2 separate regions of the Mus musculus genome follow, and region 2 is reported to be linked to region 1. The links are microRNA targets in miRTarBase. Many come from high-throughput screens and were not tested one by one. Region 1 holds a microRNA gene; the other region holds the end of a gene's coding sequence.
Evidence for each region. The annotated mature microRNA mmu-miR-1964-5p reads AGCUGGAGCACAAAAGCCGGUG and lies in region 1 at 6,541-6,562, shown strand. An mRNA with a match to its seed (bases 2 to 7 or 8) in the 3' UTR can be bound and repressed. Matches are read on the target gene's strand: a 7mer-m8 pairs with bases 2 to 8, a 7mer-A1 pairs with bases 2 to 7 and ends in A, and an 8mer does both.

Region 1 (14,777 bases):
AAGGAACTTAGGTGGGTCACTGACACATAGAACTACAGCAGCCCAAGCAAAGACTTGTCCCTCACGGCCTGTAATGTCACCCACTGGTCACAGCTTCTCACTGTGCTTCCAATTCAGAAGAAACATCCCAGCCCTTCCCATCTTACCCACCACCCGTTGTCTCTGCCTCTTTCCTCTGTCTTTCTCTTCCAACCCCTTCTCCTCCTTTCACACATGCACGCGCTCCCGCACATTCCTTCACACAGACACACAAAGTGCTCCTGTGCTCTTCACTAACCCACAGGCCTACATTCCAGTAACAACTGGCGGCTTCTCCATGTCCAAATCAGGAACTCCAAATTTGAAACATTTGTTTAGAGCCCTCCTCCTGTCACCGCCCTTGGATTTAGGTTGAATTCATTTTGCCGAGCACTGAGAACCCTGCGGGGTGTTTGGGGACTGGGGCTGAACTGTAAATTGCTTGCACCCGTTGTTTTCTGGGAAATGTAGTTCAAACCGAGGAGTCCAAGCCGCAGTGCCTTGTGGGAAAAACAAGCCAGGGCACCAAATCCTCCTTCGTGTAACCCCTGCCACAACATCTGCTCTAAGCCGATTCACGGAGAATTCCTCTGGGAATTCTGTCTAGAAAGGGTCCCAGGAGGTCCCGGAAAGACCAGGAACCTAGAAATCCAAAAAGCGGAATCTGGGTTTCAGGCTGCCGGTAAACCTAGATCTTGTGAGCGAGATATTCTCTTCTCTCTCTCTCTCTCTCTCTCTCTCTCTCTCTCTCTCTCTCTCTCTCTCTCTCTCTCTCTCTCTCTCTCTCTCTTCCCCCCGGAGACAGTCTTCCTAATAAAACTCTGCTTCCACAACAACAAAATCAACCAACAATAACAAAATCCACCAAGACTTGAGGCACAGTGATGCATACTTTTAATCATAGCAAACAGAAGGCAGAGACATGGGCCAGAGTTTGAAGCCAGTATGATCGACATTGAATTCTCATTATATGAGTGAGAATATATATATATATATATATATATATACATATACATACATACATATGGAATTCCATAAAATTTGATCCAACATAAATGTTCATGATTGGCCCAACATAAGTGCTTGGAACAGAACAGACGATGCTCTTAAGAACTGAACCATCTCTCTGTTTATTTTCCTTTATGGACACAGGTCGTTAGGTAACCATGGCTTCAAACTTGTTATGTAACCGAGGCGGGCATTAAAACTCTTGATTCTCCTGCTTCTGCCTCCTGAGTGCTGGGATTACAAACATGCAATGCTCAACCCAGGCTAATGCAGCACATTTAAATTTGTGGCTATCGAGTGGTAAGTAGACTAAATATTCCAGTAAAGATAGGGCGATCTTTGCCCTATCCAGTCGTTCCCAGTCCTAACAGCCTTGTCTCATTCCTTCAGGGAGCTTGGAACACCACACTGGAGAAGCTCTTAAGAGCCCTCATATATCCGACTGTCAATAGCAGGATGAGTTCTTTACCGAGAACGCGGTCTGTGATGTCTTCTGGGAAATGTAGTCCTGAGCTGGATCACTTGCTCGGGTTCTTGCCTCGCTTCTGTAGCTGGAGTAAAGATCCACCCCCACCACAGAGCCGAAACTGCTTAAGTTTCAGAGACTTCAAGCCTTGGATCCTTGGGAAATTCCCCCTTTAGAAAACTAATCGTCCGTTCTCTAGTTTCAACAGATCTCTACTTCCTCTCTCGCACACTGAAACTCTCCTGCAGACTCTAGAAGTAGCACCGCCTTCTGGGAAATGTAGTCCACTATAAATGCTCAGCCACATGGCGGAAGTGGCTGGAAAGAGGTTGTTCCGGATCATCTCAGTGCCCTACCCGACCTAACCCGGTACTGTCCTGGTCGGTATTCGCTGGTCGTCCGAGTTCGAAGCCGTGAGATCGCAGTTTATACTTTTGAAGTGAGTCTGCCCTTGGTTTTAAGTGCTTTGTGTAAATACAGTCCTTAAGGCCTGTATTTGTTGGTCGCTGGCTGCAGGCCGGCTCTAGGGGACCCACCCGGTTTCCGGGATGGCGCTAGAGGCTTAAAGAGGGACTAAGGCGGCGGGAGTGTGACTGCATGGGCGAAAAGGTTTTTGGAGGATGTGGATTGTACAGGAGGGTGAGAGAGAGAGAGTGCGCGAAGTCAGCAGAACGTGGGTAGTAGGTGGTTACCAGATCCTCTAGTCTTGCAACGCAAAGTCGGGGGCGGGAGGTGCGGGACACCATTTATGTCAAGTTTATTTGAAAATTTGGGGGGAGGGGGGAGAAAGCTAAATAGTAGAGACGGTAAGGATTTCTGTGTTCAAGATAGATCAGTTTACCAATCAGCATGACTTTTAACTGTAGTTAGGAGTTAGATATGGTGACCCACATCTATAATTTCAGCACTCGAGCTGCGGAAGCTGGAAGTCAGTGACTTTGAGGACAGCCGTGGGAACATAGTGAGTTCCAGGCTACCGGGACCCACATAGTGAAATCCTGTCTCAGAAACGGATGAGTGTATAGAAATTGTATTTGAAAAAACGTAATTACTGTGGGTTCCTACTTTTGTGTCACACCCTCCGAGTAGCCATTTAGCCTTGTTTAGGGAACTCTTAGAAAATCTTAGCCTCTGTTGACTACCACTAGAGAAGTCAGAATTTGAAGTTCATGATTCTGGGTGATCCACTTCAGGTTCTAAAAAGACAACTTCCTCAGCTCTAGGCTTTTCTGTCAAGAAGCAGACATAGTGAGCACACGGAGTCTCCGTTGTACCCCATCTTCACCCTGTCCAGTTTATAGTTACAAAACTAGTCCTCGGTGTGGTGGGTTTAGAAGGTGGGGGCTTTTTGAAGGTAATTAAATGGGAGTAGTGCCCTGGCTCCCTGGAGCTACCTGCCTTCTCTAGGTGAGAGTGCAGTCCAGAGACTCCATCTGGGGACCGGGGAAATCGGTTTTCACTAGACACCTAATTTGTCAGTGCCACCACAACAGAGAAATAAGTTTGTTATTTATAAGCTAGTCTCTGGTATTTTGTTATAGCAGCTTAAGTGGGCTAATGGACTTTAATACTGCACCTGGCCAGTTCCTGCAGAAATTATTTGAAGTTCCTGAAATGTACTTTGTTTTTTTGTTTACGGTTTCCAGAGAGATCAAGTTCCTTTTTTTTTTTTTGGCTTGGTATGGAGGAATCCACAGAAACGCCTTTCTTCATGACATGAGGAACTCTTCCTACTGTCCTAGTAAAAGGGAGTGTGGGGTGAGATAGAATTGGTTAGTCCTGGGGTGAGGTGCATGTGGAGGTTTTGAAGATGATTGAACCTGTTCATGGTAACACCGAAGAGTGAGTAGCCTAGAGGCACGGCTTTGAACTTTGGACAGAATTTCATTTTATTCATCTGTCTAGTGTCTAGATAGATGGCTCGGTGGTTAAGAGCCGTGGCTACTCTTCAGAGAGTCTGGGTTCAGTCCCTAGTACCCACACTCATAGCTGTCCATAGCTCCAGTTCCAGCAGATACAGTCCCCTCTTTGTGACCCCTCAGGGCACCAGGCATGCACGTGGTACACAGACACACGTGCAGGTGAAACACCCATAAGCATAAAATAAGTAAAGCTTTTTCAAAAACAATTCTGAGCATAAACTCTCAGACAAAAGTTTGGAGAAGCTCAGGCTGCCTGCAGAAAAAAAGAAAAAACAGCAGGCATTTTACCGGGTTCTCGAAGAGACCTAGGCCATCAATTGTGGACATAGCGTTTTTTAAAATTAAAGGCTGGTCATGGTGGCGCACACCTTTAATCCTAGCACTCAGCACACAGAGGCAGGCAGATCTCTGTGAGTTTGAGGATAACCTGGCCTACATATCGAGTTTCAGGACAGCCAGAGCTACAGGGTGAGACCCTATCCCAAAAGAAGAAAGGAAGGAAGGAAGGAAGGAAGGAAGGAAGGAAGGAAGGAAAGGAGGGAGGGAAGGAAGGAGAAAGGAAAAGAAAAGAAAACAGAAAAGAAAGTAGCCAGGTGTATAATACACATTTCAAATTCCAGGACTTGGGAGGCAGAGGCAAGTGGGCCTTTGCATTGGAGACTAGCCTGGTGTACTTAGTAAAACACCATCTTTGAAAAAGAAAAATCTCTTTATGTTTATAAGAAGGTTTTGCCATGTATGCTTACAGATGAATGGCTTCTATCCTTGAGATAAGGGGATATGAGGAAGGTTTATTCCTCACCCTATTTAATAAGGTAGGAAGGAAACTTCCTGGGTGGGTCGCAGGCCTTACAAACTGAAGGAATGAGGGTCTGCCATGATCCCTGTGAGTGTCTCTCAGGAGCATTTCAGTTGTCATTATTGGTGTGTGTGTGTGTGTGTGTGTGTGTGTGTGTATGTGTGTGTTAGTCTATGTAGCAGCCCTGGCTAGCCCAGAACTCTTTATGTGGATACCGTGCTGGCCTTGAACTCCTACAGACTTCCTTGCCACATGAATAGGAAATGCAGCTCACACTCATCTGTATATGCAGCCTGAGGGCCTGGGAAAATGGGTCATGGGATGTTTCTCCCAATTCCACCTTCCTTCTTCCATTCTGCAGTTTGTCCAGAGTGCCCGGAAGAGCTGAGAAGCATGGCCGTTGTGGACGTCAGCACCGTGTTTAAGGTGAGGTGAATTTCTCCTGCCAGCTCTCTTCTGGTTGCTAATTCCTGAAATGGACTTGCACCCCCATTGTCATGGTAACCATGGAAGGTCTGAGCTTTGCCAGCATAATTCTTTCTCCGGTGAACTATAAGGGACTGTCTGGTTGTTCTGTTCTTTTCTCTTCTTTTCTCTTCTCTTCTTTTTTTTTTTCTTTCTCTCTTCCTCTCTTTCCTCCTCCTCCTCCTCCTTCTTCTTCTTTTTCTCCTTCTCCTTCTTCTTTTTAATAATTTTAAATCTTACTTTATGTGCATTGGTATGAGGGTGTCAAATCCCCTAGATCTGGAGTTAGAGACAGTTGTAAGCTGCCATGTTGGTGCTGGGAATTGAACCCCCGTCCTTTGAAAGAACAGCCAGTGCTCTTAACCACTAAGCCATCTCTTTCCAGCCACTGTTTTTCTTTTTTTTTTTTAATTCAAGCATCTTCCAGGCCATGTAAGGAACCCCAGTTCCTAAGTGTTCATGAGTTTACTTCATTTTCCTATTCCTTACTTTCATGATCTGAAAGTAGAAGAAGTAATAGCATTTACTTTAGATTAGTTTTAACTAAATTGATGTGTGTAACATGTTGAGGGCCAGCTTCGTTCAACACAGCAGGGGCTGAAGAGGAGGGGTGAAGTGACAGGACACATGGACATGGGAATCTTTTGATAATTCAGACAGGTTCTCTTTGTTTTTAGTGGGGTCCAGGAGTCACCCCACAAACTGCAAAAACACTGATCTCAGTCAGACAGGGATAGTTTTTTGAGCGCACACCCTAAGACTGACCAATCAAGGCCATTGCTCAGAATTCGGGGGGCTGAGGCTATGACCCCAAACATTCTTCTGTATCAGCTTATAAAGGCTAAAGCCACAAAAACCACAATGAGCTCATAAGTAGGTGCTGGAAGTGCCACCTGATGGTCGGCCCTGACTGAGGCCAGTTTATGCATAGCAGTTCAAATTGACCTTTAAGTTGATGGGTCCCAAGTGAAGCCTATAGTTGTGAAATTTCCTAAGATTAACAAACCTCATAACCTACAGAACATAACAGGGTATATGGTCAGCATGACCCTGCTCTGAGTCAAGTTATTTTTCTGTGTCAGTGACAGGCAGGCATGTTTTACAGCAGCAATGTGAAATAGCTGGCAGGAGCAAAATGGCTGCAGCTCTGCTGGCGGGGTAGACCTCAGTAGTTTTTCTTTTAAGCTTATATCCCCCAGCAAAGACTTTCAGGCAATGTATAAGTTGCAATGTGGCTACATTCTATTTTTCTTCAAGTGAATGATTACAGTGAGTACAAGTAAAAAGCCAGTCTGTTTCTCAGCACTTTTTACACGAATAAACATTTTACATAGTACAGGTGAAAACCAATTGATCTGCAAGGACCCACATACACTCATGTCTAAGTAACTTGTTATAGATTAACAACGTGTAAGCAAGGTGTTCTCAGCCAGTTCTCTTACCGGCAAGCTGCATTTTGTGGTTGCAAAGAAAGGCTCGATCATTTTTATCATTTATCTTTGGATCCATCATTTAATTGTTTATCACAAAAAGTAATCTTATATAAAATCTTAATCATAAATCTAAACTTTTATATAAAAAAACAATCATTTTCCTTTAACTTTTTTCTAAGCCCTCAGGGTGCACCCTACACATTAAATTTTTTTACTAAATCATAGGATCAGAAAGCCGAGGGCATAAATGGCTACAAGAAATTAACCATTACCCTTAATCACCCACCCAGCTTGATCAAGAAAGGCACCTCAGCTAGTAATAACCAGGCTTACTCAACTTTCAAAAATGAACCTTTCTGAACTTTAAATTCTTGCCCAAAATTTTCTACATCAAAGCAACTAACACAAACATCTTAACCTTTCTTGCGAAGCTGGAGCACAAAAGCCGGTGCCGGTGTGATGCCTACACCGACTTCTGGGCTCCGGCTTTGGAAGGAAGGAGGTAGCCTCGGCTGGCATTGCTGGTATTGCCTTGACTAATCCTCACACCTACTTGCAGAGGTATGCTAGTACCACAGGGAGGAGGGGACAGATGCCAAAGGGAGCAGGGAGTCAACTGTCCGTCTTGCTTTTAGTTCTCCTACAGGCAGTGCTTTTTTTATTTTCTAAATGCCTCTGTGTCCCTTCTCCCCAGGAGTATGCCCCTTGCTATTTTATGTCTCCCTATTACTATTTTAATCATAACCAAAGTGCTTCCACTTGAGCGTGTCAAGTTCGGAAAACAGGTGGCCTCAGCAGCAAATGGCTTCATCCTTCCGGGCAGCTGCAGCATTTACACCAAGACAATTACATTCTCTAGCTCTGAGCCTCTCGAAGGGCCCCAGTGCAGTGCTGGATGCCTTCTACCCTCGCCTGCAATGCCCCATCTGTGGGTTTGAGTTTGTTCTTGTTTTTCTTACTTGAGACTGAGTGTCGTTGTGTAGCCCAGGCGTCCTGGTTAGTATTTATGCCAATCTGGCACAAGGTAGACTCGTCAGTAAGAAGGGGGCCTCAGTTGAGAAAATGCCTCCATAAGGTTAGAATGTAGACAAGCCAGCAGGGCATTTTTTAAATTAGTGATCAATGGGGGAAGGCCCAGCCCACTGTGGGCAAGGCCATCTCTGGGCTGGTGGTCCTGCGTTCTACAAGAAAGGAGTCTGAGCAGGCCATGGGAAGCAAGCCACTAAGCATCGCACCTCCATGGCGTCTGTATCAGCTCCTGCCCCGGCTTCCCTCAGTGATGCACAGATACCTGGAAGCACCGGGAGTACACACCCTCTTTCCCAAGGGGCTTTGGTTTTGATGTTCCATCACAGTAATATGTAAAATGGCTAGGTATTTAGAACAGTAACCAAATCTCTCAACTCCCTGTCAGCCCTCCTCCCAGTTTCCAGCCCAGCCTCTTCAGATGTTTCTCCCAGCCATTCCTCCCTCAGTTCCCCAACTGTGTGCTTCAACAGTCTCTTCTGCCTGTTCTCTCAATACAAGCATCTCCAAACTATAACAACTGTTCTAGCCTATCTGCTCAGCTCAGTCTCTGAACATCTTCTCCACCAATTGTCTCCTCACTCTGCTAGCCCCATTCCTTTTTTCTCTGCCTCAGCTGGCTTTTTGTATAACCTATCCTGTTCCCAGAAATCTGAGAGGCAACCAACCCTGAAGGTCATGAAGTCAAGCAGTTTTAACAACAAAAAATTCTTAAAGGGCCAGTTGACTAGCAACTGGAGATCCTTTAAAGGGCCAAGTGCGCAAGATAAATTACACTACAGTAATATGAACCCTAATTAAGACCCCGGGCTAGCCCTGAATTTCTGGCTGTGCCCCCCAGTGCTAGCTAGAGTCACGAGAATGAGCCACTTGGCTGGCTAGACTGGAGCGAGTCTGTGGTTGAATTTGCAGGATGGAGAGAAGCAGTTATCCTCCAGCTTGTGAATTTACTCCCAAAAAAAGGCAAATTAGGAAAGAGAAATTTGCCAAGGACAAAGTAGCATTTGTGTCATCCTTGTGGGAGCCTAGACACAGGCTTGATGTGAGACAGCATGTTGGGAGTGTGGCCAACAAGGGACAATTGGCAAATGCCTTTTCTGCTGGAGTTTTTGTTGGGAGAACCTGCTATGGCTACATCTCATTTACATTACTGACTCTTTGGCCTCCTAGAAGTCAAGCTGGAACAGGTCAAGGTCTCAGGCATACAGTTAAAAAACAAACAAACAAACAAACAACCAGATAAACCCACCTCATCAGGCTGGAAATCAAGGGCTCAGAAGTGATTTCTCAGGGGCCAAAGGCCACTTCCTTGAAATGTTCAGTTTCCCTGTGCTGGAAAGGGGATATGCCTTGCCCTGGCACCCCTTGAAGAAAGAGCTTTAATGTTTCCCTGAAGTCTTCCCTGCTGTGTGTGTTACCTCATGCGTTCATTTCAGGAGTTGGTGGTGTTCAGGGACGTGGCTGTGGAGTTCTGTAAGGAGGAGTGGGAGTGTCTGGGCCCTGAGCAGAGGTCGCTATACAGAGATGTGATGCTGGAGAACTACAGCAACTTTGTGTCGCTGGGTAAGTTCATCTGTACCTCTCTGTAAGGGCTAGGGATGAAGGCCTGTGGGAGGGAGATAAGTCTACCACATGCAGCCTCAAACTATTGAGCCTTTTCCATCCCCACAGTCATGGCTTCACAGCTGGTAAACAGCTGCCATTGAATCCTTTGCTACACTCTGGCACATACTTTCTCAAGATACTTTCCTGCTTCTTTTAATTTTCAGTGATTCCTGCAAGCAACAGTTATTTCCTAAGGTGCTTGCTAAGTGGTGGCTTGCTCGCTGTTTGTTTGTTTGTTAGTTAGTTAGTTAGTTAGTTAGTTTGTTTGTTTGCATCACAGTCACTCTGAGGATCTGCAGTTTGTTTCAGGTTGTTAGTTCTGTGATGAATGCCTTTTGCTGTTGAGGCTTGTCTCTGTATTTGTCTTTACCGTTCTCTTTTTCTCTTTCTTTGAGTAGGACTTGCCATTTCTAAGCCATCAATAATTTCACTGCTGGAGCAAGGCAAAGAGCCCTGGATAGTGGAGCAAGCAGGATGGTGCCCAGGTGAGGAAAGACGACTGCACATGGTGCGCAGATAAATACGTAGGCGAAACACTGATGCGTGTTAAATAGTGAGGAAGCACATGGTTCTGTTTGTCTGGTGCCCCGTGTCTGCTCGCGCTGATGAACTTACTTTCTTTCAGATCTGCTGTCTGTAAATGAAGCTAAGAGTTTGTCTCTAAAGAATGGCATCTTTGGAAAGGAATCGTTAAAATGGAAAATAATAGAAAGAGTTGGTAGTTCTTGCCTTGAGGAATCTTGTTTTGGAGATGATTGGAAATGCAAGGGACTCCTTGAGACAAAACGGGAATCTACAGAGGAATATTTACAGGGAGTGACAGACCCGTTGGAAGAGACGTCAGCCAGATTCGTTCAGCCTGCACCCATTGCTCTGAGTGAAGTGACGCATTCCGAAACGAAACTCTCTGAGCAGGACGCAGGCGAAACCATCACTCAACAGGTGCGAATTCCTACCAGTGACAAACTTAATGAAATGTACGAGAATGCCTTTATCTATTACACAGGTGAGATGAAGCGTCAGCAGGACTTTGCTGGGGACAGATGTGATGAGCTAAAGGCGTGCAGCAGAGGATTCGCCTATGACTTTCAGCTCGCCCCGTATCAGATCAACAAGAAGCCCTACCAGTGCGAGATCTGTGGCAAGATCTTTGAGAAGCACGCTTACCTTGTTCAGCATAACCGCTTTCACACGGGGGAGAAACCCTGCGAATGTAAGGAGTGCGGGAAAGCCTTCACCAACTGCTCGCTGCTCGTCCAGCACCAGAGGGTCCACACGGACGAGAAGCCCTACGAGTGCAAGCACTGTGGGAAGGCCTTCCTCTACTTCTCCACGTTTTTTCAGCATCAGAGAACCCACACCAACGAGAAGCCATACGAATGCCACAAATGTCAGAAGGCCTTTAACAAGAGTGCCAACCTCACTAGACATCAAAGGATCCACAGCGGCGAGAAACCCTACGAGTGTAACTTATGCGGAAAGACCTTCACTTGGGCTTCCAACCTGAATGATCACCAAAAGATTCACACCGGCGAAAAACCTTACGAGTGTAACTACTGCGAAAAGGCCTTTCTCTGCCATTCGGCCTTCATGAAACACTATAGAACTCACACAAACGAGAAGCCCTACGAGTGCCAGGAGTGTATGAAGGCCTTCCGGCAGAAAGCCCATCTCATCCAGCATCAGCGAGTCCACACTGGCGAAAAACCTTACGAATGTAAGGAGTGTGGGAAGGCCTTCGCGTGTCCTTCCTACTTTAACAGACACCAGAGGATTCACACTGGAGAGAGGCCTTATGAGTGTAAAGAGTGTGGGAAGGCTTTCATTGATTGTAAAACTCTCATTCTGCACCAGAGGATCCACACTGGCGAGAAGCCCTTCCAGTGCCAGCAGTGTAGCAAGGCCTTCAGGCAGAGGTCCCACCTGACGCAGCATCAGAGGATCCACACTGGCGAGAAGCCCTACGAGTGTAAGGAGTGCGGGCAGGCCTTCACTCGGCTCTTACAGGTGAAGAAACACCAGAGAGTCCACACGGTGGGGGAAATCCTGTGTATCTGAACACTGCCCTCTATTTACTGAAAATCCCTGACTCAGCATCTTCACAACCACACAGAAGATAAACATTAATGACTCGGAAATGCGGGAAACACCTTTATGTGTCCCTCAGCTATGCAGACTGCTGGAAAAGCCTTCTGGAAGGGAAGGGTGTGAAACAACCTCTCAGACTGTGCTTCACGTTGTGCAATTTATACTATGCTCAAAATAGGAAGCTCTCCTTATTTTCGGCTATTCGTTATGGAATAGAGTTTGTCAGAGAGAACCATCTGATGACTATTCTATTTTTTTTTTTTGCTTTCTTCTTTTTTGTTTTTTGTTTTTTTGCTTTATAACCTACTGTTTATTGAGTATTAATTCACATAGGAAAAATAAAAATTAAATTATGAATAGAAATACTAATTCTATTACCAGTAGAAGGGTTCTATTTAAGTATAGTTATAGACAGTACCACATAGAGAACAATGGTGTGCATGCTGTTAGTGTAGGGGTTTCACATGCATCGATTGCTGACTGTGTTTTATTAAGTTGACTTCAGCCCTGCTTCAGATTGCTGCCTTTTAGCTGGGAGGATGGTTATTTTGGGGACGGGATGAATCAGTAAATGGGGTCTTTGGCATAGCTGCTAGACAGGATCAGGAAGGATTCGGAACCGTCCTCTTATGATGTTCTTTGTTACTATTTTTGGAACATTCATACCCACTTTATTCATGACATCGCCTGTCAGTGCTTGTCCCATGCCAAAGCCTTCAAAAGGAGTTCCGGCGTGACAGTGATTGGAACGGAACACGAGCAGATTTCCACTTCGACTTGAGTTGAGTCTGAAAGCCGACCCTAGCAAGGCCACATGGACTCACTGCTCAGGGTGCCCGGCACAGCAGAGGACAGTCGGATCTGTGCAGGACAAGAATTGGAACAAACTCATAATCTGTCACCGTCACCAGGTGACTCTCAGTCATGTGAAAAGTGCAGTCTGAAAATACAGCTTGCTTCAGTGTGGAAGAACAACAGCTCTACACACTAAAGCCTGGCGTGGTTCATTTGAATAGATGTTGTCAAATTACACACCTTCCCCCCCCCCCCCAAAGAGCAATAAATCTTAGAGTTGACAGCAGAATTACACATTATATACAATAATCAATGAATTTAAAGAAGTTTCTAAAAACCATCAATAAAATGGATAACCGGACTTTAGGAGCTTTTTCCAAATCTGATACATAGACTAGGTTTTCGGGGGCCTAGAGGGACATTTGAAAGACACAAGCACAACCGTCAGAGCTAATGGGAAGTAGAGCATTCCCAGGCAGAAGTATGTTTGTTCGGTTGGCTTTGGTGGGTTTTATTTTAAGACATGGTCTTTCTTAAACTTGTGGCAATCCTCCTGCTTGAACCTACTGAGTGCTGGGATTAGAAGTGTGAGCTACCACACTGGCTTGAACTTGGAGCCTTGAGCCTGCTCAGCTTGGCTCTGCCCTAGAGCCTTTTATTCCCGGCTCTCTTTGTTCTGAGGCAGGCAGGGTCTTGGCTAAATGGCCTAGGCAGGCTTTGGTGCCCTTACATTAAGCCTCTCAAATAGCTGGGGCTATAGACCTCTGTTACCAGGTACAGACAGAAAGTTTGACTGCTATAAAATAAGGTATTCTCCAGATTTCAAAATCAGGCAGCAAGCAAAGGCAGTGAACATGGAATTTGCCAGTGGGAAATTGTGTGGTAGAATGGTCAACATAAATTGTATCAGTAACTCCAATAACCTTTTGAATAGGCTGATTGCTGTAGTTGAAAGGAAGTGTTTTTTAATTTTTTAAACAGATTTTTTTTCTTCAAAGGTTTATTTATTATATGTAAGCACACTGTAGCTGTCTTCAGACACACCAGAAGAAGGCATCCGATTTCATTACAGATGTTTGTGAGCCACCATGTGGTTTCTGGGATGTGAACTCAGGACCTCCTGAAGAGCAGTCAGTGCTCTTAACCGCTGAACCATCTCTCCAGCCCCCCCCCCCCCGAAAGGAAGCTTTTTTTCTCATTTAAATGGAATACTAGGTTGGTGTGGGTCATATCTGAAATTATCCCTGGCAAGGAACGATATTGCTGTGGCTTCAGATTAGCCTGAGGTCCATAGGACAGCCCCAGCTTAAAAGTGGGAAAGGGAAGACAGACAATGCTGCAGAAAGATCAAAACTGAGGGACGGGGGAAGCCCGTGCTGTTGAGATACTAACCAAAGGAGTTCAAGAAGAAACAACAAAAAACTGGTTTACCAAAAAATTAGGGAAAAAAGAACATAATGTGTGAAGATTCGTTAAAAGGGTCAGGATGCTTTTATTTGTATGTAACCAGCAGCATGGGCTCCATAAAGAAAAAGCAAAAGTTAATCAGAACTACAAAGAAAAAAGCCAGCTTGGACTTTAACATGGCTGTCAGGCAAAATCAGGACAGCACATTTGAACAAAGACCATTGAAAAGTCTAACACACACATGGCCTCTCGCAAACTTACAGAATACTCTTTTATATAAGAATTTATTTCCTGTGTCTTAAACTTCAAGTCTGAATCAGTATCAGTCAGTTCTAATTTATCTAATGCATTCTTACCTAGGCCTAGAGATGTCGCTCCATATATTTTGAAATATCTTAAATATCCTTGAAACAACCATTAGTTAAAGAAAACTTAATGGAGCTGAGGAGGAAGTGGTAGTTTGTGGTATGCAGTCGTGTGTAGCGGACAGGGTTTCCAGGAAACAGGTCCCGTGAGGAATTCATTGTCTCAAGATGATAGAGCATTTTAAAAGGTGGAAGCAAATGTAACACGTTAGGAATTTAGTGGGAAGCAAAAGTTGATACAAGTTTTTAAACAGTTGACATATTCTGGGATAATCTTTCGCTGTTAAGAAGGAATTACTGACGTGGGTAGTGATGTCTCTCACATCTTTAATCCTAGCAGAGGCTAGATGATTTCTGAGTTCCAGGCCAGTCTGGTCTACATAGTGAGACCCTGTCTGGGGGGGGGGGGGGGAATAAAAGTGGAGGCTGTGGGGATCACAAGGCATAGTTCCTAAGGCCTGCATTCCAGCACTCAGGAGTGTAGGCCCTGAGCAGCCTGGGCTACATAATGAGACTCCTTCTCAACACTGAAACTGAATCCTACACATTATTGAAGAATGAGCCCTTTAGCACTTCTACGTGTAGGAAGTGGAACATGTTAGAAAATAAAGACTAATGCCCTCATTCATAGTTCTTGTCTGTCTAGTGGGGTTTTTGGCCTTAACCACAGTTAGTTGAATCGAACGCTTTCTGAGGTATGTAGACCCTTTTCTCCCTTGCGATAGAGAACGAGGTGATGATCTTTGTACATATTAGCTTCTATCTGCAGATATCTATTAAAGGTTCATCCCTGGGTTGGAGTTGCTACTTTCTAGTATATGTACATTTACAAAAGGCCAATGTTACTAGCTTTTGGTTCTTTCTCCAATGTTACATAGTGCCCCTATCCAATCATTTTTCTGACACTTTTTTGTTTGTTAAAGCTTTGATTTCGCTAGTCTGTTAGGTAAAAAGTGTTATGACAGTTTAATTTGCATTTTTCCTGCTGTATGTAACTTGCATCTAATGCCATATTTTCCTATTTTCAAATATTACATTTTCTGTGGAGTGTCTCAGTACCATTTTCTGTTGAATGATTGCTTTCCTGATGGCTATGTAAGACTTATAATCCTCTCGAACTGTGTTTATACCAGTTTTCTCTTTTTTATGCCTGGTTTGGATTTGTAGACTTAAGCAATTCATGATTGGAAGGTATCTGTCTTGGTGTTAATGCTTGTAAATCATTTTCCCCCATTCCAATATATTTTCCAAAATCCCATGCTTTCCTCTCATGGTTTATGATTTAAAATGCCAATACAGGACTTGGAGCAGTTTGGGCTATGTCGAGTTAGGCGGCTACCTTCACGGCTGACAGCTTGGTTGTCTGAACACTTGATCCTA
Region 2 (14,777 bases), not on the chromosome of region 1:
AGAAAAAAAAGAAAAAAAGAAAAGATGGAGGATGGGAGAGGTAGCTTAGCAAGCATGAGCTCCTGAGTTTGATAACAAAGATAACTGATGTCATGAATGGTAGAAGACATCTGGCATCAACCACTGGACACATAAGCACACACAAACACACATACACACACACACACACTTTAAAAAAAACCTTAAGCCGGGCGTGGTGGCGCACGCCTTTAATCCCAGCACTCGGGAGGCAGAGGCAGGCGGATTTCTGAGTTCGAGGCCAGCCTGGTCTACAAAGTGAGCTCCAGGACAGCCAAGGCTGTACAGAGAAACCCTGTCTCGAAAAACCAAAAAAAAAAAAAAAAATAAAAAAAAAATTAAAAAAAAAAATAAAAAAAACCTTAAAAATAAAAAAACAAAAATCAGCATGAAGAACAACAAGAGAAATTCTTTCATATAAAATCCATTGTGATTTTTCTCTACACTTCCCCCAGTTCTGTGACCTTTCCACTATCTCTGTCCAGACACAGGGAAGGGGGCCAGCCTTCCATCTGCCTGCTGGAATTTAATGGCAGGTTCTGCAAGATCTTGTTTGAGTCACGGGGCCAGACAATGATAATCCCCTGTGCTTCCCTCTGATTGTGTGTCTACATCGTGTCTTGTTCCTGGGAGCTGAGCAGAGGGCTCCTGTCTCCTGGCCTGTGACTTGTGAGGGTAGCCTGGCAGAGTTGGGAACTGTGACACTGTGACGTGGGTCGTGGAAGGTGGAGACAGGGAACTGGTCCTTGATTTTACATGTGTAGCATCCCTTGAGTCATCTCTCTCCCCTCGTTATTTCTGTCAGATTATGAAGATTGGGATTTTTTCCCCTCCAGTTCTGGAGACACTCTTGCAAACACTTAGTACTAAGCTACAGCCCCTCTTTAAGGAGGGCAACAAAATTTCTTTTTGAAATGTGGTTTCATGTAACCCAGGCTGGCTTTGAGTCTCCTATGTAGCTGAGGATAACTTTGAACTCTGATCCTCCTACCTGAAATCCCCAAGTGCTAAGATTTGCAGGCATGTGTCAGTATGCCTAGTTATGTGGTGCTAGAGACTGGATTCAGAGAATTGTACATGCCAGAAAAGTGCCCTACCAATTGAGCTACTCCACAGCCTGAGACTTTTAAGAGAGTGTTTGGTGAGCATATGTAAAGGACCTTGTTCTCTGGTCGTCTCCTTACATGTACCTGGTTCAGGATGAACTTGGGACCTCAGTGTCATATTTTCTATATAGGAAGACGTAATGCCTGCTCCCTTTTCTACAGAACCCCCTACTCTTCCATATCCACACCTTGGTGTGTGTGTGCGCGCACAAAGCTTGGATGCTGACAGGGGTGGGCTGTCCAAGAGACCTTCACTCTTTGCTTCCTTCTCTGCCCTAAGCAAGTAGCTGACTTCCTGGGAGTCCTGTCTTAGCTCACATTCTACACCCCCGTGTGACTTGGGTCTGGCCTTTGTGATAATGATACCTTAGTAGAAAAGGAAACCAGAGATAGACAGAGTGGGCTGGCAGCCCTGTGCCAGGCTCCAGTCATAGGTGTCACCCTGAGAGTTTTCCAGTTTAGTGATTCTCATGCTTCCACACATGCCAAAACTCTTCCCCGGGGGTGGGGGTGGGGGGCAGATTTCTTATTTCCACTTCAGATTCTAGGCTCTAGTCCCTATCTGAACAGTCAGGTGTCTTGGCACATGCCTCCAGGGCTCAGTAGCCTTCAGCCTGGCCACTCCCTAACCCCTGAGGCCCTTAACTAGAGCACAGCCACGCTCCAGCTTGCTTCTCCCTAGCCGGCTTTTCCGGTTAGAGAATGGAGGTGGTGCCCAGAGCACCCCTGTAGGGGGGCACACCCCGGAAGTCTTGAGCCTGGGGATACCCTGGTGGCAAGGTGGAGGTGAGAACCCAGCTAGAATAAAGGAGTACCAGAACGAATGTCACAGGCTTCCTCCTTCAGAGGTGGGCAGCCAAAGGAGGAGACTGGAGGACAGCTGCCCTGTAGTTTTTTTACTCTCACAGAGTTCTGAAGAGGGCAGGCAGTGAAAGATAAACCTGTGCTTTGGAGGAGGGGAAACGCTGTGAGACTGGGAAAGAGGTGAGTTCCGAAGGAAGCAACAAGACCCCGGCTAAGAGGGGAAGGGAACATACAACGATGCATAGATTCTAGAAAGTTCTGGCCAGGCTGAGAGTGCGTAGGCTTCTGAGCTATGTCTGGCCTCTCGGGGTTTCCACCAGGCACACCCTTGCTCTCACTGTTTGGTGTCTCAACCCCTCTTGTCTTCTGACTCCCATAGGCAGGATGATCCCAGTGGCGGAGTTCAAGCAGTTCACAGAGCAGCAGCCTGCATTCAAGGTGCTCAAACCCTGGTGGGATGTTCTGGCTGAGTACCTCACCGTGGCTATGCTCATGATCGGGGTATTCGGGTGCACCCTCCAGGTGAGGAACAAAACAAACCCGGGCAGGGCCACACACATTGGCAGTTCCTATGACTAGAGTTTTAGGACACACCTTCTTGACAATGAGTGGGATGTGGCAAGGCAGGGCCATGTTATGGCAATAAACTCTGTAGGTGAAAGAGCAGACAGGGGAGGGGGTACACGGGATCTGGCTCTCATTGTGGCCATATTCCTGACCATGCTAATGACTGGGGCCTTGAGCTGCTCTTTCCAGGTTAGGGGTGAGGCTGGGGATGTGAAGGTGTGACACATCTTGGCAACTCTCCTCATGAGTGTCTTTTTAAAAACACACATTTTGGCCGGGCGTGGTGGCACACGCCTTTAATCCCAGCACTTGGGAGGCAGAGGCAGGTGGATTTCTGAGTTCGAGGCCAGCCTGATCTACAGAGTGAGTTCCAGGACAGCCAGAGCTACACAGAGAAACCCTGTCTCGAAAAATCAAAAAAAAAAAAAAAAAAAAACCCACACAAACTTTTTCTTTTATGTGTATGAGTGTTGACCTGCATGTATGTATGTGTACATGCAAGGTACATGTATGCTTGGCACCTGTGGAGGTCAGAAAGAAAGGTTAGCTTTCCTGGAACTATAGATGCTTGTAAACCACCATGTGGGTGCTCAGAACCAAACCTGGGTCCTCTGCAAAAGCAACAAGTATTCTTAACCAATCTCTAGCCCCTTCAGTCATGAAGGAACTGGGCCTCACCATGGCTGCGTTCCAGGTGAAGGGCAGGACCATAAAGGGACGTGGTCTTAACATGACAATGCTCATGCCTGGGGTAGGGGGGTCTTCAACTGTGCTATGCATATGGGTAAGACCCCTCCATGATGATGAGACAGGGAAATGTGTTCAGCTGGGCTCTCTAGGTAAAAGAGCAGATCTCTAAAGGAGTAGGCCTTTTGCTTGAAGTCCTGAAGCCTCCCAAGTCTCCTAAGAAGAGGGAGAAAGAGCCTGGGCATGGTGGTGAGTGCTCTGTAGACAGAGGCCTGAGGATCACAAATCTGAAGCCTAGGCATCTTAGCAAGACTCAAAGTTAAAATTAAGGCCAGGTGTGGCAGTGCACACCTGCGTTCCCAGGATATAGAGAAAATGAATCAGGATCCTGGGTTCCAGGTCAATTGGCCTATACAGTGAGACCATCTCTAAAATAAAATAAATAACATAGGAAAGAAGAAAAAGTATCAGTATTAGAGTACTTGTCCAGCTTACATGAGGTCCCAGGTTCAATAAAAATCATCAATAAAATAAGAGAAACAGACAAGAGGAAGGCAGTGCCAAAGCCTCCACACAGACCAAGTCTAGTCCCCTACCTTCTCTCCTCCATCCCCACAAGCAGTGGTCAAAGTCTAAAATAATATTAGAGTGTTTCCATACACATTTACTTTTTCCTTTTTTGTGGCTTCCAGTGTTAAACAGGATTCTACTGCAGGGCCAAACTGCTAGCCCCTCACGGGGGGATTCTAGGTAGGGGCTCTACCACTGAGCAACACCCTAGCCCCTCTGGGGGATTCTAGGCAGGGGCTCTACCTCTGAGCTAAATCCTGTCCATTCCCTCCCTTTCACTAGTGTCTATTGAAGTTGTCTAGGCTGAACTTATACCTACTTTGTAGCCCAGGCAGAGGCTGATTCTCCTGCCTCAGGCTCCTAAGTAACTAGGACTATAGGCTAGCATCACCAGGCTAAACTTTTTTTCTTATAGAATTTTGTTATAGATATAACTTAATTTTTTTAATTTGTTTATTTGGTGGTTTTTGTTGTTGTTATTGTTGTTGTTTCTTGAGACAGGGTTTCTCTGTGTAGCCCTGGCTGTCCTAGAACTCACTCTGTAGACCAAGCTGGACTTGAACTCAGAAACCCACCTGGCCCTGCCTCCCAAGTACTGGGATTAACGGCGTGCGCCACGTGCACCACCACACATGCTCAGCTCCCCTAGAACTTCTTTTCAGATTAAGATTGATGCTATAGTTTAACAGCTCTTCCACACTCAAACAGCTTACAACTGTCTAGGATCAGGGTCTCCCACCTCATCCTGCTTCTCTCCCGTACAGTTCCCTAGTCCCCTCACTGTCTTTCACTCTCTCCCTATCCCCAGGTGACACAGGACAAGATCATCTGCTTGCCTAGCCACGAATCTCGTGAGAACATATCGGGGGCTCCATGCCAGCAGCTTTTGCCTCAAGGAATCTCTGAGCAGATGGGGGGTCTCCGAGAGCTCAGTGGCCTCAAAAACAACCTAGACCTCCAGCAGTATAGCTTTATCAACCAGCTCTGCTATGAGACTGCCCTCCACTGGTATGCCAAATACTTCCCCTACTTGGTGGTTATCCATACTCTCATCTTTATGGTCTGTACCAGCTTTTGGTTCAAATTCCCTGGTACCAGCTCCAAAATAGAACACTTCATCTCCATCCTGGGCAAGTGCTTTGATTCTCCATGGACCACTCGGGCCTTGTCCGAGGTGTCTGGAGAAAATCACAAGGGCCCAGCTTCTGGACGGGCCATGGTGACCACGGTAACCACCACAGGGGCAGGGTCGGGGAAGGTGGGTGAAGGTGAGAAGGAGAAAGTGCTCATTGAGCCCGAAAAGGTGGTGTCTGAGCCTCCAGTTGTTACTCTGCTGGATAAGAAGGAGGGCGAGCAAGCGAAGGCCCTATTCGAGAAGGTCAAAAAGTTCCGAGTGCACGTGGAAGAGGGTGACATCCTCTATTCCATGTACATCCGGCAGACAGTGCTCAAAGTGTGTAAGTTTTTTGCCATCCTGGTTTACAACCTGATCTATGTGGAGAAGATCAGCTTTCTGGTGGCCTGTAGGGTGGAGACATCAGAGATCACGGGGTATGCCAGTTTCTGCTGCAACCACACCAAGGCCCACCTCTTTTCTAAGCTGGCCTTCTGCTATATTTCCTTTGTGTGTGTCTATGGCATCACCTGCCTGTATACACTCTACTGGCTCTTCCATAGGCCCCTAAAAGAGTACTCCTTCCGTTCTGTGCGTGAGGAGACAGGGATGAACGATATCCCGGATGTTAAGAATGACTTTGCCTTCATGCTCCACCTCATTGACCAGTACGACTCCCTCTATTCCAAACGCTTTGCAGTCTTCCTCTCTGAAGTCAGTGAGAGCCGCCTTAAGCAACTCAACCTCAACCATGAGTGGACACCTGAGAAGCTGAGGCAGAAGCTGCAGCGTAACATGCGTGGCCGGCTGGAGCTGAGCCTCTGCATGCTCCCTGGACTACCTGACACCGTCTTTGAGCTCAGCGAGGTGGAGGCACTCAGGCTGGAGGCCATCTGTGACATCTCCTTTCCCCCTGGGCTCTCCCAGCTTGTGAACCTTCAGGAGCTCAGCTTGCTTCACTCACCAGCCAGGCTGCCCTTTTCATCACAGATCTTCCTGCGAGATCGCCTGAAGGTGATCTGTGTTAAATTCGAGGAGCTCCGAGAGGTACCCCTCTGGGTGTTTGGGCTTCGAGGCTTAGAAGAACTGCACCTGGAAGGACTCTTTCCCCCAGAAATGGCTCGGGGTGCCACCCTGGAGAGCCTCCGGGAGCTTAAACAGCTCAAGGTACTGTCTCTACGTAGCAATGCAGGGAAGGTGCCAGCCAGTGTGACTGATGTGGCCGGGCACCTTCAGCGACTCAGCCTGCACAATGATGGGGCTCGTTTGCTTGCCCTAAACAGCCTCAAGAAGCTGGCAGTGTTACGGGAGCTGGAGCTGGTGGCCTGTGGGCTGGAACGTATCCCCCATGCAATCTTCAGCCTGGGGGCTCTGCAGGAACTTGACCTTAAGGACAACCACCTTCGGTCTATCGAGGAGATCCTCAGCTTCCAGCACTGTCGGAAGCTGGTCACTCTCAGGCTGTGGCACAACCAGATTGCCTATGTGCCCGAGCATGTGAGAAAGCTCCGGAGCCTGGAGCAGCTCTACCTCAGTCACAACAAGCTGGAGACTCTGCCCACCCAGCTGGGCCAGTGCTTTGGCCTCCGCCTGCTGGATTTATCCCACAACGGGCTTCGTTCCCTGCCACCTGAGTTGGGCCTTCTCCAGAGCCTCCAGCATCTAGCCCTCTCCTACAACGCACTCGAGAGTCTGCCCGATGAATTGTTCTTCTGCCACAAGCTGCGGACGTTACTCTTGGGCTACAACCACCTAACTCAGCTCTCACCTGACGTGGCTGCCCTCCAGGCCCTCAGCCGTCTGGAGCTCAAGGGTAACAGGTTGGAGACACTGCCAGAAGAACTTGGTGACTGCAAGGGGCTGAAGAAGTCGGGGCTGCTGGTGGAGGACACCCTTTATGAGGGACTGCCTGCAGAAGTTCGGGAAAAGATGGAGGAGGAATGAAGCCTGGTGGGGGAAGGGGCAGGCTGACACAGAGGCCTTTACATGTTTCTGCCCAACATTGTATTCCAAGGGAGAGAGGTCCAGCAGGAGTGGAAGGAAGGCAGGACATGTCGGTTTTGTGCAGCTCAGACAAGATCCTGGGACTGGTTTTTCTGGAGGAGAAACAGGAGGCGGTAGATTTGAGGTGTAACCCCTTAGGGAAGGATTAACCAGTCTTAGGTTCTTCAACCAAAACCACACCTGTGTCTTTGGCTGGCTGGCTTGCCCTTCCTCTGAACATTCTGGCTTAATTAGTTTCCTATATGGGAGTGGGATTTCCAACCTTTCCCAACAAGGATCAGCATATACTTAGGGTTCTCTCCTAAGGAGAGGATACAGGGTCCAGTTCCAAAGTTCCATATCCCAACTTTCATGCAAGTCCTGATTTTATAAGCCCTTTGTGACAGGGATGGGTACTTAGAACAATGGCTCTCACATTTAGCTATGTAATAAAATCAGCTGAGAGGCCCGGAAGAAAACAAAACCCTTACATGCTTCCCACCCCACCCCTGAAATTATACTGACTCAGAATTTGGATGGGTAGCTGAGCATGGTGGCACACGCCTTTAATTCCAGCACTCAGGAGGCAGAGGCAGGTGGATTTCTGAGTTCGAGGCCAGCCTGGTCTACAAAGTGAGTTCCAGGACAGCCAGGGCTACACAGAGAAACCCTGTCAAAAAAAAAAAAAAAAAAAATTGGGTGGGGCCAGGAATCTGCTACTAAGTAAGAATGCCAGGTAATTCTGATTCAGGTGGTCCTGAGACCACATAATGGAAATATTGACATAAAGACTGGGCTGGCACTGAAGCTCAGTTGTGAGAGTGCTTGCTTGACATGCAGGCAGCCCTGGGTCCCGTCCTCAGCATTTCATAATCTAGGAGTGGTGGAACCTATGTAATGTAGAGATGCCTGTATAGTACTCTGGAGGTGGAGGGAGGAGGCGTGAAAGGTTGGAGGTAGCCTGGGAGACGGAGCATAGCTCATCTCAAAACAACTAAGAATGGAATACTGACATGTCAGCTATGGAGCCCCTTTTCTCGAGCCGTAGGGAGTCCCATCAAGTTAAGCAGTGTTTTCTCAGGACAATGCTCATGGAACATAAAGAAGAAACTGTAAGCCGAGTCTCCTGTCACACATTCCCACCTGAGTCCAGTGCTGGTGAAGGCTACCTTTTTTCCCAGTTCATTCAGGGATTTTCTTTTGAATGTTTCCTGTGCAGGGGAGCATATACCACTGGGTGCTTAATAAACGAGAACGGTAATTTCCACCTCCTTGTACAGTATGATTGTCTAAGCTGCCTATAACTGGGGCCAAATGATGACACCTGTCTATCAAATCAGGCTGTCTGTCCTGGGAGGAAGGATATCCAAGTTACTTCAACGAGGTGAAGTAGAATCAAGAGAAATTGGGTAGTTTTCTGCCTAGGTTTTTTTTTTTTTTTTTTCCTAAAGAATCTACCTCACCCCACCCTCTAAAACAGTTGGATGGTGGTGATGCCTATCTTCAGTCCCAACACTCCAGAAGGCAGAGGCAGGTGGATTTCTTGAGTTCCAGGCCAGCCGGGTCTACAGAGTTACAGGGCAGCTAGAACTACACAGTGAAACCTTGTTGCGAAAACAAAACAAAACAAAACAAAACCAATCCAATTTTCCTCTCCTCTTTTATCCTTTTAACTCTAAGCTTCTCTCTGCTCCACCCATAGGTCATTACCAAAGGAGTTCTAAGAAGCCTTTAAAGGCCAAGGCCCATCCCAAAGTGTTCACTGTTGCTTCCGGAGTTGTGCGCAGCCTGACCTCCTGGGTTTGGTCTCTTGCTGAATGTCCCTGCACATTCAACGACCCGAATTTACACACAAACTTTATCCTAGCACTCTTGGAAGAACTTAATGCAGGGTGGGGATGGGGCTAGCAGGGCAGAGGCATCTAACCCCAGGGACTGTCTTCAGATAACATTGGTTTCAAGTCCGGATTCTCCGGGCGAAAGGATAGGAATGGGGCAGAAAGTCTGGCCTTAACCTTGATTCTGACACCGAGCTCAGGAATCACCAACTCTGGATTCCCTCTCCACTTGTCAGGGCTACTCTCACTGTGCTGGGACTGGCTGAAATGGAAAGGGATTACCATGGGCACCTAATTACGGTGAGGAGGCGGCTCCATGCTAACAGCGAGAGTTCAGGCCGCAATTAAGCATAACAGGTCCTCATGAAAGACCGTCCTAGACGAGGAAGGTTGTTCCGTGAGGGCGCGGGCACCAGAGCGCCCTAGAGATGCACACGAAGTGAAGAATAATCTGGGAACAGCCGTAAGCGTGTGCAGTAAAGGCGCGAGCTTGGCCGGTCTCCCGCTTCTGCACGCAGGCGTGCGGTTGACCGGACTTCGCTTTCTCTCTTTTTTTCTTTTTTTTTTTTAAGTGATTTCCAACAGCGCTTAATCGCCTGAAACTTCACGCATGCGCACTGCGGAAGGCAGCGATAGGCCATGACAATGCATGAGGCCCGCCTCGGGCTCTAGGTGGCATCAGCTTCCTACTGGAACCCAGTGCGCACGCGCGGCGTTATGCACGCGAGGCAGGGCGGGCACGCGCTGGGGTGGTCTAGGCAGGACGGCGGCTCGGCGGGGTCATCCGAGCGCAGGCGCAGTGCGGTGTTTGTCTACCCCGGACTGACGGGTGGCCTGGCGGTGAGCGGCGGCAGCGGCGGCGGGGAAGATGGCGGCGTCCTCCCTGGAGCAGAAGCTGTCCCGCCTGGAAGCCAAGCTGAAGCAGGAGAACCGTGAGGCCCGCAGGAGGATCGACCTCAACTTGGATATCAGCCCACAGCGGCCCAGGCCCAGTAAGCACGGCCTCGTGGGGGAGGGGCGGGCGGGGCGGGGCGCGCACTGGGAGGCCCCGCCCACCGGGCAGATCCTGCCCCCGCTTCCGGGGCGCTAGCTCTCCTCCCCTCCACTCTCTGTGCTGTCGGCTTGCAGGGAGAGGGTCACGGTGACCTGGAAGTCGGGTGGGCAGTCTCCAGGGCGACTCTCTCCGCCCACGTACCGCGGTCCCGAAGTTCACACCGTTGGTACCTGAGAGCTTAGTCCCTCACCCTGTGGTCGGCTTCCGGAGCCTTGTCACCTGCACCTTGCAGGCTTTCAGACTCGAAGCTACGCCGCTGTGACTACAACCAAGTCTTTTAACTCTGCAAACAGTTATATCTCTTCTGATTCAGTGGTTCCACTCCTGCCGAGTCAGTGACTGTCAAGAGGTCCCCTCCCCTAGCAGACAGTCCACACACGTGCATGCCTATCTGCCCATGTAGGTCACTAAGTCCTCATCTACATCCGTTTTGATTGGAGGCTTCTATTTGACTTCTTTGGTCATATCAGATGGCTCCTTCTAAGCTTGGAAGGACCTTGTCACTGGACCCAGCTCACTGCCTCCTACATACAGGGGCACCTCATATCTCTAATGACCAACTACTTTTCACTATTGCTGTCTAGCCCTCAGGAAACACATAGCCATCTCTCAGCCTGGCAGCCTTTGTCTACAGGGCTCAAGTGACTGCTACTACTACAGACACCTGTAACCAGTGTAGTCCCATCGAGTAGAAACGCACCTCCTTTCTGAGCCTACTGTCTTTGGGCCTGCCTCCTGACATACGGTCCTGTACCAAAAGTGCTTCCTCTTCCTTTCTAGACACACATCCAGCTTGTCCACCATGACCACAGTTAGCATCCTTGTTGTATCCCAGATACCCCTGTCCCAAGTTGTCTTTGCTGAAAGAATCTGGCTTTTTTTCTCCCCTCTCTGTCCAACCCTTCCTCTGTCCCTCTTGATTCAGCAGAATGTCTTCTTTATATCCTCTGTGATGTAATCTTTGGAGTATACATACTATAGTTGTCTGTGTGGTCACTATGGTAAGAGGGGAAAGGCAGCCTCCTGTAGGTGAAAATTCTGTTCACTACCTGGCCACCTGGCCTGACTGACCTTCACAGCTTGATCATCTTCCTGAAGAGGCATTCAGGATTCCCTCCATCCCTACCCCTTCTGGACAAAGTCTTCCACGTTTCCTTCCTGGGAGTTTCTTCCAGGAACTGGAGATACCCAGAGGTGGGGATGCATTTCACTGATTCTGCCTGGGACCAGAGGTTGGGCCCCTGCTGGATTCCAGGGCCATCCCTCCACGGCCCTGTGGATGAGACAGGGTTGGGAATAGGGTTCTAGGTGCCATAAGAGCTGCCTGTCCCTAGAGCAGAGTAAGACCTGGTAAGGCTAGTGGCTGGCAGGCCCCAAGGAGTCCCCTGCAGGTGTCTGTCTCTGTCAGCTCCACACCTTCCTGCCATCATCCCATCTCTGTTGGTTTCTACCCATCTCTGCAGTTTGGTGCCTTGTGCCTCCCCCTCCTCTTCATTATGATTTGATTTCTTTTCTGTTGGACAAATCGGTTGTTTCTGTTGTGATTTATTGTGGTGTTTTTTTTTTTCTCTTTTCTTCCTTTCCCCATCCAGTTATTGTGATCACTCTAAGCCCTGCTCCTGCCCCGTCCCAGCGAGCAGGTACCAGCCTTTTTATCATTGCTGCTTGCATATCTGCACATTGACCTAACCGCTGCCCCAGCTGCAGAATGCCATCCCTACCCTATGCTGTATGTGGGTGTGTGGGTGTATTTGTGTGTGTGTATAACTTAGGGAGAGAGAGAAGGAAAGAGAGTTCTGTGTCTTCATTTTCACTCTCCCTTAACTACAGAAATGTGAGCCTGGCTATACTTTCTCTGTGTCCATTAGTCTTCTCATTTCTTCTCTGGCTCAATCTGGAATCCTAGAAGATGAAATGAGCTCCCTTAATGAGCAGGAGTCTGCTAAGTGGGCACACAATGATGTGTGTGTGTGTATAAATAAAGTAGGTAGAGATAGGTGCACTGCTCTTATTTAATCTGTCTCAACTATGAAGTGAATGAGTGTCATTATTTGTGTACTGTGTCTCCTTTCAGAACCAGGAACCTAGCAGTAAGTAAAACAGATCAAGCTCCTATCCTGTGGGGCTGAGGATGCAGGATGGACGGGATCCATTAGTGGTCACGAAGCATGTGTCTGATCCAGCAGAATAGTCTAGTAGGGTCTCTGCAGAGGGGTCTCTCAGGGAAAGCCTATGGAGGATACAGGGTTTGAACAAAAGTATACCAAGAGGTTAGGGGAAACAAGACCTCCCCCCTCCACCCCTTCCTCCAACCTAAGGTCTCCAATGCTAGGTAGATCAGCTGTGCTAGTTCCTAGGTGTGTAATGTCCTGTGTGTGTAAGAGAGCACCTGTGTTGATAGAAATGAGAAGAGCTCACTATTGGTGCTAGTGTGTCCCAGCTTGTGTGTATACATGGATGCGTGTATGTGTGCTGTATGTACATGTTTGTCTTTTTGCACATGAGTGTATGTATGTTGGGCTGGTAGCCTGCACACATATGGATCCCATAAGTGGGTACATGTCTCCATGGTCTGTCTTGCTTTCTCTCATTCATTCAATCATTCTCACTTTGTTTTCCTTCACTGACTTATACTTAATCTACTTTCTAGGCCTGCCGTGTGGCTCTAAACCCCTCTAACTTCTGTTCTCAGGGCTTTTGTCTGTCTGTCTGTCTGTCTCTCTCTCTCCCCCCTTTTCCACCAAATCCATGCTTCAGAGAGTGGGGCCAGCAGCCTTTTCCCTGGATCTGGAGCAACCCAAGAGGGCTTGATGGTCTGTGTGGGTCAGGGGACTGGCAGGGAGTACAGAGGTTAGAGGTGTGGTCACTCCAGAGAGCTGAGTTGCCAGACAAAGAAGGATCACACATGTACTCATGGACGTGAGCTGTGGACAGTTCCTAGTGAGTCTGGATACAGTTGGGCCCCAACTACCAGAACTAGAAAAGACCTGGATATCTGCAGTAAAAGCCCATTTGTCTCTGACCATTAATTGCTGGGCCCAAGTTACTAAACGCCATTAGAGGGACTGTGGGAAGAGACGGTAGTAAAGATAAGGGTGGAGAGGTGTGTTAGAAAGTGGCAGGCTCCAGGCCTTCTGCGAAGTGATGCTTGAAGGGTGCTTGTTGCTGTCCTGAGCTGAGCTAGCCTCCGGGAGCCTTGGGACCCTTGAAGTATGAGAGGTTCATGGAGAGCAGATGCTTCCATGTACAAGGGGGCTCACGGCCCCTGCCTCTAGGCCAGAGAGACCCCCTAGCTCTTCAAGGAATGTCCTCTTAATGTCTCATATCCTCTCTGGCTGTCTCTGCAGCACCTCCTCTGGGCAGCTGGGTCCCAAGTCTTGGCTCCTCCTGTCTGTCTTTCTCCTGTCATCCCTCACCCTAACACTACCCGCCCGTCCTGGGGTGCCTGCTGCCTGCCTGCTATCTGCCTGTAGCATGCCCGAGCTGTCCGCATGCAGGCCATTGGGAAGTACCAAGCTCCCCTCCCTGGCCCAGCATTTCCCCCCTGGCCAGCCCAGCTAGCCCCTGGAAGAGCTTTGCCAATTAGATCACCATCGATCTCTCTTCACAAGAAATCAAGCTTACCCTGGGGTTCTGTTCCCGATCCCTTGACCCCAGCTCTGCAGGCCTGGCTGGGAGGTGCACAGATGAGACAGCTGGACAGAAGGTGGCCCTCCCTGGCCTAGGAGTCTAATCTAGGGCAAGACAGCCTGAAACCAGAGTTCCATAGCTCTTGGCTCTTGTCATCCACAGTGTAGTGTTGGTGGCCAGGCCAGGTTCTTGATGGGCATTCTGTCCTCACACATTCCCCATGTGAGCACTGCGGCCCTGGGCTGCTTCCTGGCACTGAGAGGGAACAGAGAGCTCTGCCAGGGAAGCTCCCTGGCAGAGACCCCTCACTTCTCTGCAGTATGTACTTGAGGATAAGCCCTCAGCCTGTGGGACTACCCCTCTCCCACCAGGCCACCCCATCTCCTTTCAGGTCAGAGGGGCAGGAGGAAGGACCCTGAAGATGCCCAGGGGGTGGGGAAGAAGGCCCTAGCCAGCAGAGCAGGGGACTGTTCCAGCTTGGCCGAAGGGATACCAGGAAGGGGAAGATGAGAACGCCGAGTCCTTGGTGGCCAGCTAGATGCTAACTCCTTTCATGCCCCTGGTTTTTAATTCCCCAGCCCTGCAACTCCCACTGGCCAACGATGGGGGCAGCCGCTCACCATCCTCAGAGAGCTCCCCACAGCACCCTACACCCCCCACCCGGCCCCGCCACATGCTGGGGCTCCCATCAACCTTGTTCACACCGCGCAGTATGGAGAGGTAAGCTGGTGGAGCAGGGCCAGCATTGGGCCCTCCTGCTGGTCCGAGGGAGGCGGGTGACATTTGTGGGGGCCCTCCTTACCATCTTCCATTTTCTGTCCTATCAGCATCGAGATTGACCAGAAGCTGCAGGAGATCATGAAGCAGACAGGGTACCTGACTATCGGGGGCCAGGTACTACCTCCCCATAGCTCGGCACCCTGGGGGATGTGTCAGGCAGGACCCGGGCAACCTGGAGGTGGTGGGTGACAGAGCAGAGGCCCTGAGGACCCTCCAGCTGTCTTGCTCTTTTCCCAGCGTTATCAGGCAGAAATCAATGACTTGGAGAACTTGGGTGAGATGGGCAGTGGTACCTGTGGTCAGGTGTGGAAGATGCGGTTCCGGAAGACAGGCCACATCATTGCTGTTAAGGTAAGCCTTCCACACCCCAGTGCCAGGATGCACCTTGTGACCTTGCAGCCTGCTCAATACTTGAAGCTCGCCCCTTGGCTGTCCCTCCTTGCAGCAAATGCGGCGCTCTGGGAACAAGGAAGAGAATAAGCGCATTTTGATGGACCTGGATGTAGTACTCAAGAGCCATGACTGCCCTTACATCGTTCAGTGCTTTGGCACCTTCATCACCAACGTGAGCACCCTGCCTGAGGGACCAAGCCCCTTCTGGGAAAGTCTCAGGTTACCCTCTGCCC

Region 2: miRTarBase lists Lrrc8e as a target of mmu-miR-1964-5p. Seed matches in the 3' UTR shown: 7mer-A1 at 6,890-6,896 and 7mer-A1 at 7,421-7,427.

Annotation. Positions count from the first base shown.
Region 1 is chr7:29,766,765-29,781,541 of GRCm38, forward strand. It overlaps Mir1964 (microRNA 1964), which reads left to right and starts at 6,530; the gene lies at 6,530-6,612. It overlaps Zfp84 (zinc finger protein 84), which reads left to right and starts at 1,788. Exons shown (of 5, transcript NM_023750.2): 1 at 1,788-1,931; 2 at 4,575-4,639; 3 at 8,574-8,700; 4 at 9,141-9,227; 5 at 9,368-14,655. The coding sequence starts at 4,607. The coding sequence ends at 10,800. It overlaps Gm38983 (a long non-coding RNA gene), which reads right to left and starts at 1,489. Exons shown (of 2, transcript XR_881933.3): 1 at 290-1,489.
Region 2 is chr8:4,229,355-4,244,131 of GRCm38, forward strand. Lrrc8e (leucine rich repeat containing 8 family, member E) reads left to right here. Exons shown (of 3, transcript NM_028175.2): 2 at 2,308-2,450; 3 at 4,561-8,116. The coding sequence starts at 2,313. The coding sequence ends at 6,810. Map2k7 (mitogen-activated protein kinase kinase 7) reads left to right here and starts at 9,386. Exons shown (of 12, transcript NM_001164172.1): 1 at 9,386-9,679; 2 at 11,334-11,381; 3 at 13,950-14,091; 4 at 14,199-14,265; 5 at 14,389-14,502; 6 at 14,597-14,716. The coding sequence starts at 9,556.